Linked DNA regions of Schizosaccharomyces pombe. The gene in region 3 interacts genetically with the main gene of each other region. Each region holds a gene or a part of one and is shown on either strand. Other genes may lie near its edges. The genes, in order: pqr1, vps1 and atg7.

What was found.
Region 1: of atg7 (region 3) and pqr1, a mutation in one rescues a mutant of the other (synthetic rescue), as found in Schizosaccharomyces pombe (one study listed by BioGRID).
Region 2: mutations in atg7 (region 3) and vps1 impair growth when combined (synthetic growth defect), as found in Schizosaccharomyces pombe (one study listed by BioGRID).

What each region holds. Positions count from the first base shown.
Region 1 is NC_003424.3:2,422,227-2,425,984, reverse strand, and holds the start of pqr1 (ubiquitin-protein ligase E3), read left to right. Parts: upstream 1-2,158; 5' UTR 2,159-2,781; coding exon 2,782-3,758.
Region 2 is NC_003424.3:1,997,335-2,001,092, forward strand, and holds the start of vps1 (dynamin family protein Vps1), read right to left. Parts: upstream 2,082-3,758; 5' UTR 2,009-2,081; coding exon 1,916-2,008; exon of another isoform or gene 1,865-1,915; coding exon 1-1,864. Other genes in the region: poly(A) polymerase Cid16, read left to right, coding at 3,651-3,758.
Region 3 is NC_003423.3:2,634,771-2,638,528, reverse strand, and holds the start of atg7 (E1 Atg8 and Atg12 E1 activating enzyme Atg7), read left to right. Parts: upstream 1-1,920; 5' UTR 1,921-1,934; coding exon 1,935-2,125; intron 2,126-2,166; coding exon 2,167-2,272; intron 2,273-2,313; coding exon 2,314-2,646; exon of another isoform or gene 2,647-2,681; coding exon 2,682-3,116; exon of another isoform or gene 3,117-3,176; coding exon 3,177-3,332; exon of another isoform or gene 3,333-3,370; coding exon 3,371-3,758. Other genes in the region: ubiquitin hydrolase Ubp14, read left to right, coding at 1-916. UniProt on the Schizosaccharomyces pombe protein: E1-like activating enzyme involved in the 2 ubiquitin-like systems required for cytoplasm to vacuole transport (Cvt) and autophagy. Activates atg12 for its conjugation with atg5 and atg8 for its conjugation with phosphatidylethanolamine.

The DNA.
Region 1 (3,758 bases), on a different chromosome or scaffold from region 3:
AATACAATACCTTCAGTACGTTCTATGTAAAATGGTGATCTTTCTCACAAACCGGCGACAATAGCTCCCAACTGTGTTTCAAAAAATGTAGAAAGAGACAAAAAGGCGAATTGACGAGAAACAACGAATCAAAATACTGTTAATGCTAAAAAATAAAGTAATATGCTATGGGTAAATTAAATCTGTGTTGACAAACCCGCAAATACATAATATGGTGTGGTCCCTCACGTCTCGCCAATGCTGAAGTAAATAAATACAACAAGCGAAACATAAGTTAAAGTTGTGTACGAAATCATTTGAACCCTAAATAAATTTGTGTTCTATACATGCAAACTTTAGACAGTTTGAAATCCGAAAAATCACTTTTGTAAAAAATGAATATATGAATAAATATATATATTAACATATATTGATATATGTATAATCTTAATACAGTTTACAAACTACTGTCTTCTTAATTAAGAAAACATGGTTCTCATGAAAACTTATATTGTTATTTAAGGTCTTGCTGCTATATATGCATTAGCAAAATGCACATTTCCAAAAAATGAAGTTAAAATTATCAGTTTACAAAAGACATTGAACTAAAGATCAAATTTTTCCACAACCGAATTAAAATGTAAGATTGTGTTTTTTAGAAGAAGCCAATGCGCTAATAATAATGCCATGCTTGCATTGCTTAAAAACAAACGAACTTCTTGCCTTCATGTAGCAAGGCTATTATCACGAATTTTCATGTTAATTTCGCTATGAATGCTTGGTCTTTTCTGAGTTAATCAATACTATTTAGCTAAGGTTTCGCTCATATAGAATACGAAAATTTCGCATTTATTAATGCAAATTTCCTCGATGTTTTTAATATATTGTGTTGCTAATCTGACTATATAACACTGCCTCTTCAAGGGACAAATAGTTTTAACAAAATTTGTTTACATTATTGAGTCAAGCAATTACGACCCGATGTTATAAGCATTACGCAGATTTCTTTTACAAAAGGGAGGTCTCTTTCATTTACCCCAAGCTTAGCATTACAAAATCATGTGCAAATGAGAAGACTACTTTTAGGGAAAATAAAAATCTAAACTTGATTGGAAAGCGAAAGTTTAAATCCTAAATTGTTTGAGGTTGACGTGTTAGTTTTTCACCGTAATAAGTAAATAGCATTGTATAATGAATAAAAGAAAAATTTTGATAGTTTAACAATTGCTGCTATTCATATTTTAATAGAATCTCAAAATTCATACTAATCGACTTTCTTATCCTTCTATATTCTTCAATATTTCAAACTCGTTTTAAGTCTCTCCTATAGCTTGGGATTATTCAATGAAATTGTAATTGTCGTCCTTTCCTTTACATTGTGAATACTAAAAAATTGCTTCTTCCAGAATTGTTTTATTGACTCACGGATTTGCAACATGTCCTTCTCCTCTTTTTTTTTTTTTTTTCTTTTTTTTTCTAATCTGTAAAAAAACCAAAATTTTACAATCTCGATAATCCTTTTAATGTCTATAGTCATCAAACACGTTTATCTACTTACTCAATACGATAATGTACAATAATTCCATACGAAACTTGCCCTTATCTGTTTTAGTTTTTTGTGGCACACCGTTAACTAATCGTGAATAAAATGGTTATTACAGTCATAGTCCGGTTTAATCGGATCAATCAAATATAATTAGATACCTACTTATTATCATATACATACAAAATTAAAAACAATACAAAAAAGAGGAAAACAAAGAGGCTCAACTTCTTACCGACTATCCTTTATCTCTCTTTTTTTTTTATTTTTTTTTATTTTTTCTCTTTTGGCACAGTGCTACAGAACATTTGTTCAACAACCCAACTCTGTACGTTTCACACATTGTCAGCAAATTGTTGACAATCAGCACAAGCCTCATTCTATAAAGCTAAGGAAGATTTCGTACCACTGCTGGTCTTCCAATTGCCCCTGCTTCCTTTCCTTTTACTGTAAGGCTTACCGGAAGGCCGTTTACTAATAACATTGCGAACCCGAGTGCGGTTGGGTAGTATTACCTATACCGCAAGTTCCTCCGCTCTTTTTATGACGTCAGGGGGAAATGCTTTGGTTTGCCACCTTGCGTCGTCTAACGCGGTGCAATATAAGGATGCGAAAGGACTGCAAGGATTTTCACCTGTCATGAACCAACAAGGATTTTGACGATTAGTACAGTGTTAAAACTTTTGAAATAGTATCGAAAATTCATTTACTATATGTATAAGTATTAAGGAGTTACGCATCTCTTTACAATTTTAAACACTCACGTACCTTTGGTTGAATCAAGCCAGGCAGGTCTCCGTTTGCGAACGACGGTTTCGGTTGATTCGAAACGTGGTATTAGAAAATCATTTTATTTATTTTCATTCCCATTCCATTTATCTATTCTATCTAATTTCGTCCCATTGTAGCTTGTTGTTTTATCACAAGCAGCTTTTAGGTCTTTGGGCTGTTACTTTTTTCTTCACTTCATTCCATTACTAATATATATATATTTTAATCAAAACGTACGCAATTCAACTCTGCGAAACTCTATCTTGCAAGCTTTCTTTCTCCATCTGCTTGTAATAAAGAAAATACTTAACTCCGATACTTCGATTGCAAAGGTCGGAGCACTCATTTTTATAAAAACCACAAAGCTTTCTCCTTCTTGGGCTTTGGTTTTTTATTCTGTAGTTTTACCGCCTTTCAAATATTTTGATTTCAATCTTTTGTAAAGGTTTCATCCTCTTTCATTTTCATTGAAAAAAAGTCCTTCCGATATGAAATTTGGACACGATTTTAAAAGGGCTCTCGAAAACGATATGCCCCCTGGTTGGGGCGAGGCTGCCATTCAGTACAAGGCCTTAAAAAAATGTATTAAAAGGTTCGTTTTTGAGCTGTCTTCCTTGGGTCTAAGTGCTGAGACCATCAGTAAATTGATGGCTCCGACTACCGTGGATCCCCAACAAGCTATTACGCTTAGTTACTCCCTTGGCAAAGAGGGACACATTGTTGTCCCCAAAATTATTATCAACGTAAATTTTGATAAATTGAAAACTGATAAGTTCGCTGCTTCAATGTTCAAGCAGTTGAATGCATCAAATATGATTACAACCGTCAGGAGTAATTATGCCTCAAATGTTCCTTCTACTCCTTCGGATTCTACTCAGCAGCCCCCTACCAATACGTTACCAAGTGTGTCCGCATCATCTCAGAGCGTAGAGACTTGTGAAACGGTTGATGAAGATATCGATACTCAAACTATGAGTTCTGACATGTCCGAAGTTCAAAGTATGGAAATATCGTTGAACTGTGACCACGAGTTTTTTGAAAAATTAACTTCGGAGTTGCAAAGTGTTGAAGGACTACAGCGTGAACAGCGTAAAATTCTTTTTAACGCAATTGATATCCTGAGTCATGAAATATCTCTTATAGCTTCCCCTAATTCCAAAAAGAAATACAAATCTCTTTATTGCTGGAGAAAAATTTTCGAAATTTATATGGATTCCGATATATTTATTTCTTGCAAGGAAGCTGATCAGAGTCATGAACGCACTCCCGAGCTCGCTGAGCGCCATTTGAAATGGTTTGACGATCAGGTCAGGCTAGCAAAATGTCTTCCCTCTTCCTCAAAGCATCGTGATCGTATTTTGTATGCTAAGTTTCTTGAACTTAATGAAAGTTTGTTGAAAGTTGCTTCTTTTCAGCAAATGAATAAGTTAGCCGTTACGAAGATCATGAAAAAGTTTGATAAGCG
Region 2 (3,758 bases), on a different chromosome or scaffold from region 3:
CTTCGCTTTCCTGGAGTAATTTATCGAACGCCTGAGACTTGTAAAGCTGCTCAAGCAACTCGTGCTGAATGTGCTCTTTAGAGTATTTTATCATTTTCAAAGAAATGGATTTAGGTACCATATCGGCCAATGTCCTTTTAACAATGTTGAAATAGGACATAATAAGTAGTTTAATAACTTCAGTATCAGTCTTTTCGCGGTCTGAGAGAGTAGTAGAAGCTCTTAAAACCGGTGGAGGAGGCTCCATAGCTGCAAGTCGCTTTTTATTCTTAGAACCAAAAAAGCTTCCAAAGAAATTCTGTCCCGAAGATGATGAAGTTTCAACTGGAGGAACGGGGTTATTTGTAAGTGCTTTTCCAGTTTTAGGGTCAACGGGTATCGGCTTACTATTCTGACTTTGAACAATCGCCATTGCTTGATGTCCAGATAAAAAGTCTGGATGAACAGTGTTTATATAAGAACCTTCCATGGCAACCATATCCATTACAAGGGTATTAGTGGGTTGCATACATTTTCTAAAGAAACCAATAACAACCTTGTAAAATTCATCTTTCAAAAGAGGATAACGTTTAAATATGGGACGTTGAAGCAATTGATTTAAAATACGGACAAGTTCGTCGTAAATGAGGGAAACACACTTCAAGGAAGGATCCTCCAAACGCTTAATTTGTTGCTTGACAATAACTTCAAATGCAGCAGTACCCATAAATAAACTAGGAGAAGGGCCAGATGAATTGTACAAAATGGTGCGAATATCCGAATCCTTAACTTCATCAAATGGATCAATTGCTTGAATACCATTCGAAAAAATTTCATGAAATACGAACGCAATACGAGCTCCTCCTGAAAGCTCCGTAGCAGAAAGCTCTTCACTACGGCCGTCCACAACTGTGCGATATTCGTTGCAAAAGTCAGTAATTAAATTTAGTACAATACTGGAGTTGTCGCCAACAGGAGTGTCCCCCAAAGAATGTAGTTCGGCCTGATATTTGGCTAAAGCAGCGTTAATACGAACTTTAATTTCGGGAAGGGTGTTCCGAATATGGTGCATCAATATCATATTTAGTTTACGAGCTAGAAATGGAGTACCGCAGTATTGCGCTTTAGAACCATAGGAAGGATGCGTTTCAAAAAAGTTCCTTTCTGCCTCAAGAGCTATACGAATAGACTTCTTCCCTTCGATGTCCTTTTGACCGCGATTTATGACTGGAACATACCCAAGTCTCAATGGAATAACACGTCCAGCTAGAATATCTACCACATCCGTACCTTTATCCATTAAATCAACCTTGGTCAATACACCGATAGTGCGAAGACCTTCGGGGTCAACTTCTCTAGCAAGTTTGAGACCATCTGAGTTTGCCAAATCAGTATTGGCAGCGTTTACAGCCAATATAATGGCATTGTTTTTAGATATATACTTCAAAACCATTTCACGAATTTGCTTTTCAATATCTCGAGGTTGGTCACCAACCGGTACCTTTGTAAGACCAGGTAAATCTACTAGTGTCAGAGTAAGCACATGAGGAGAGTAAATACGAAGATAGATAGGAACCGAAGAAATGCCAACATTCTTTCCTGTTTTTTCTTCTGTTTCTCTAACGATTTCTTCACGAATCTTTTCAAACTCAAAGAACTTTTGTCCGGGAAGATGGAGGAATTCTCCCCATTCAGATGAATTATTCTGGTCCTTTCCATCTGAATCAGTAGTTGTTTCTTCATTTTTTCCACTAGCGCTAGGTCTATTAATTAACTGCAGAACCAAAGGACGCCTTGTTACAATGCCGGTTCCTCTAGGAAGGAAATCTCTCCCAACAATATTTTCTAAAACCGATGATTTACCGCTTGACTGTGACCGTACGACCTAACAATTTATTAGTGAATTTTTCAATCTAAGTTAAAATTCACAACATACAGTAATCTGTGGTAAGTCAATCAAGTTTTGAACGCCAACTGTGGAGAAAGCCTCCTGAAGTTGATTGACAACTTTAATCAATGAGGGATCCATTATCAACTATGGATCCACTAAATAGACAATTTTACGAATGGGCGGTTACAAACCTGATGGTATGTGCTGTGGTAGTGTAGTGTTTACTCGGATATGTCGAATAAAATTAGTACCTCGCTAATCGGATTTCAGTAAGGCTGCTTGAAGGTGGCTTAACAATATCGTGTTGCTAATTGATTTACCAAAAAAGAAACAGTGATGCCCTTGAAACGTTGTTGTCAGACTTTAGACAATAAATCTAATGTTTAACCCTCGATAAGTAATATTAAAGCGATGCATCATTCCATATTTAACGAACGATAATATACTAATATTGCGTTTTACTACGTTGCGTATCACTATATGCCCTGTGTTGGAATAACAGGAAAGATCCTTTTAATGATAATTGCGAAATGCTATTTATCTTAATACAAAGTTACCCATTGATACTTGAGTACTGAAAAAATTAACGGAAACTGCTTTAACCTTGTTTTTCAGTACAATTATAAGCTATTCTGCTGATAAGTAAAAATAGTACCTATTTACGAGAATCTTTATAATATAGTACGCGTTTTGCTGCGTACCGTAATATTGTATATTTCAAATAAAACTACCACCACAGTTTTAAAAATTGGTTACATTACGCGTAGCTGACAGTGCTCAATACGCTAGTTTATTCAAAAACGAGTTTTAGTTCAGTAGGAAAAGGGAATGGACTTTATAGAAACAGCAATTTTTGCTAATTATTCTCTGTTTTGCTGCTGATTAGAAGTCGACAAGTGTGTTCAATTTGCACATGCCATTGGACAAATTTTAGCAATCACCTTAGCGTCAAACAATTTATGCTTTTTGTTGGAAAAAAACCAATAACAATTGGGACCTTTTTAGCAATAAATGGAAGCGAATTTCATAGTGGATAATATCTCTAATTTTTATCAAAGCATATTAATATACCATATGCAAACTTACAAATAGAGAAACATATGAAGTCTTGGTTCTTGACTCCAAAACTAAATAATACTAGCATTCCAAAAGTTAGTTATCAAAATAAATGGTTGTATAACTCGTGGAGTAGTTTGTCAAAATCTTACACATTTTGCTTCGTTTCTTGACACCTCTATCGTATACAAATGCCAAATCAATATCTTTGATATCTTGTAAATAATTTTTTGTCAATAAAATTACAATTTTTACAAATTTGTTACTAAACAGGATGCAAATTTGGGTTAACTATAAAATCCAACTTCTCTGTATTCGGCATACTGTTAGGTTTATACATGAACGGCATACATGTAAAACCCAAATTTTTAAGCAAATGCTACGACGCATAGGTTGCTTCATGCTCTAGCGAGCGTTTAATAAGAGACTGGAAGATTGGTACTCCTCCTAGGATCACTTACTCCATAACCATACCAATGCACTACTTACTCAATGTCTTCAACATAAATTTAGTATACATGTCTTTTTTAAGTCAATAAAACAAAACTGTCTTAATGTGCTCGTTGAAGAAAATTCGACAAATTATTTATTCTTTCAAAGGTTTCGTTAATTAATGTTTCAATCGTTTAAAAGCGGCATACCCTTTATTTATTCTGTGATCCTTAATTAAAAGCAAAGCCTAAAAAGAATTTTTACTTTTTTATTTAAAAATATCACTCGTGAAATGCTATTTGCCAAATTATTGTTAAAACCTGTACAAATTTTGTTTGCTTACGCAAAGGCCAAGAGCAAAGAAATTTCAATTAAAGAGGCTAATCTACTAATATTCCAA
Region 3 (3,758 bases):
AATTGAGGGTGAGCAAATTTATGAAGAAGTCTCAATAGACCAATGTTTAGATGCAACTATACAACCAGACCAAATGGAGTATACTTGTGAAGCTTGTAAAAGTAAACTAGGAGCTACAACTACTACTGCCATGAAGTCGTTCCCGAAAGTCTTGATCCTACAAGCCAACCGGTTTGATTTACAGGGATATCAAGTTAAGAAATTAAGCATCCCTATAATAGTTAATGAAGACGGAATTTATAATTTCGATCGCTTAATGGCTAAGGACCACCCAAATGACGAAGATTATCTTCCTGAAAAGACAGAGACCATTGAATGGAACCAAAGTGCTATTGAACAGCTTCAAGCTATGGGATTTCCTTTAGTCAGATGCCAACGAGCATTACTCGCTACTGGAAATTCTGATACTGAAACTGCCATGAACTGGCTATTTGAACATATGGAGGACCCTGAAATTGACAAACCTATTGAAGTTTCTGAATTACTGCCCAAAGCAGACTCAAGTGTTTCAGAAGAAAATGTTCAATCATTATGTGAATTCGGCTTTACTGTTGCACAAGCACGAAAAGGATTGCTTGAATCTAACAATAATATTGAGCGCGCAGTTGATTGGATTTTAAATCATCCGGATGAAAGTTTTGAAGAACCACCACTTGAAGGATCAGATTCTTCAATAAAAAATGAAAATATGGGTAGTTGGGAATCGACAAACGTTCCAGTCAACTACAATTTAAAGGCCATAATAAGCCATAAGGGCTCAAGTGCGCATGCCGGTCATTATGTAGCATTTATACGCAAAGAGATAGATGGAAAGCAGCAATGGGTTTTGTTTAATGATGAAAAGGTGCTTCAAGTTGCCTCCTTGGAAGAAGCAAAAACTACCGGATATGTCTATCTTTTTGAAAGGCTAGATTGACATTAATTTATATCATTTTTTTTTTTTTAATAGCAATCATCGGAGCGTCTTATTGAATTTTGGGTTGAGCAGAATTTGGTAGCATACAACAACTAAATTTTTTTAACATTACATTATCAAAGAGACCCGGATTTAAGTCTTTCTTTACAAAATAGACCAACCATTCAGTTTGGCTTTAAAAACTCCTTTGACGCAAAAGTCGTTTTACAGTCATCACTCCCCGAATATTTGAAATAAATAAAAAATATCCTTAATAGCATTTTGAGTTACCTTCTGTGAACGAATTTCGTATTTTAAATTTTGAAAGAGTAGTTTTGATTGTAAGTATCCACGCACCATTCCAATTAAATGCTATATCGTCTCCACGGTCAAGAGTTTCAAAATATGTAAATTTGACCCTAAATACATAAGAGAGCTGACATTCATTTTATTTGAAAATATATCTGAAACCCAATTGTAAGCTACGCAGTTTGGTATCTGATTTAAGGATACGTAGAACTGCGGTGAGTTTTCCTTGTGATCTATTATATTACAATACACAGGTTGTATAAGTAGCAACTGAGTATAGGTATTGTATTAACTGGGTTATAATGTTACCTATCACTAATATAGCTCATAACTGAACTGAGGAACGAGGTTCAGCAGTAGCTCTATTTATAGTATTCAGATAATATTGATCTTAATAGATTATCATTAAGATCAATCTCCATATCGTATCATACATGGTACGATATATAATTAGAACATGTGACATATAGTGATACGCAACGTAGTGTAGTATTGCTGACACCAATGTAATTATAGCATATTTGCAATATTCAATATATTCTGTAATAACGCAGGTGTAAATTGGACTTGCCCTAAATAATTTCTAATTTAACGAAATTTAAAGCACAGTGATAAACAGTTCACGGCTTCAACATGTAATGACATCTATAATTTACTACACTACTTACTGTGTATACCCAGCAGTATATAGTAACTGTGTAGCAAACTAACGTTGTAGCAACGTTCAGAAATGTTTGTTGGAAAGGCATTGCAGTTTCAGTCATTCCATTCCTCCATTGATGCTACGTTTTGGCATCAATTGAGCAATTACAAAGTCGAAAAGCAAAAATTAGACGCGTCACCTTTAACTATTCATGGTAAATTTAATACATATTCAAGAGGAAATATATCAATTGTATTTGGAGAAGCGCCATCAAACAGGTAATGAGTGTACAATAATGCTTCATCTAATCTGTCCCTAGTAATATCAAAGACTGTTTAGCCGAGGGTACACTGTTAAATGCCAATACTCCTCAAGAATTTACTAACGCTGACGTGAAAAAAATTCGAGAGGAAATTGGTGAAGTTGTAAGTAGATTGATACAAAAGCTCATTAACATTATGTATAGTTATTAAATTCAATTAAAAACGGAGTTGTTTCTGAAAGGCCTAATGAATTACTTAGATTTCTTATATTTTCTTACGCCGACATAAAAGCTTACAAATACCATTATTGGTGCTTATTTCCTTCGTTTAAAGAAACTCCTCACTGGATTGTAAAAGACTTATCACCAGCTGAATCGCTAATACCTTCAGGTCCAATTTTATCTCAAATTCGTGAATTCTTGTCTACAGCTGATTACTATCAACGCCCTTTTTTCTTATTAATAAAATCAACATTAGATGAATGGACTATTGCACCTCTGAAGGAGCTTTCCCACTGTGTGGACAAGTCGCTTCAGGTATGCCATCGATTTTTAATCCAACTAACACGTAGTTTTATCTCGTTGCAGAAGATTCTGTTCAATTGGCAGAATATCCATCTTGGCCAGTCAGGAATATCCTCGCTTTTGCATTTATTAAGTTTAAATTGAAAGTGATTAATTTATTTCTATATCGCGATGGGATTAATTCTGATACGCTGTCGAAAAGCATACTAATAAAAGTTGAAGCAGATAAGGATATGATTCTTGAAGCACCCCTTTCAATCGTTGGATGGGAAAGAAATGGAAAAGGCGTTTTAGGTCCCCGGGTCGTTAATTTGTCTACGGTCCTTGATCCTTTTGTATTGTCTGAATCTGCTTCAACGTTAAACCTAAGCTTGATGAGATGGAGACTAGTGCCGCAATTAGATCTCGATCGTATTCAAAACTCAAAATGTTTACTTCTGGGGGCCGGTACTCTGGGTTGTGGAGTGGCAAGGAATTTGCTGGTAATGAAATTGAAATAAAATATTTATATGAAGCAAACGACCAAATTGCTAACGTTCTAGTCGTGGGGGGTGAGACATGTTACATTTGTGGATTACTCTACTGTCTCCTACTCAAATCCTGTCCGCCAGTCATTGTTTACATTTGAAGATTGCAAACGAAAGTTGCCAAAGGCAGAGTGTGCGGCGCAACGGCTTAAGGAGATATACCCGAATATGGTACAAAAAATTATTATGAATGCAAGCTAACAAAGAAGTTTTCAACGGGATATAACATCAGCATACCAATGCTTGGACACCCTATATATGAAGCTGGCATTGAGAAAACTATGCATGATTACGAAACTCTTGAGAACCTTATTTCCACTCACGATGCGATATTCTTGTTGACCGATACAAGGGAATCACGTTGGCTTCCGACAGTCATATCAACTGCCATGGACAAGTTGTTGATCAATTCAGCATTAGGATTTGACAGCTGGCTGGTCATGAGACATGGTAGTGTTTTACAAAAAGAGAATCGCTTAGGTTGTTATTTTTGTAATGACATATTTGCGCCTTCAAACTCACTAGTTGACCGTACACTTGATCAGACCTGCACAGTAACACGATCAGGATGTGCTAACATTGCTACAGCAATAGCAG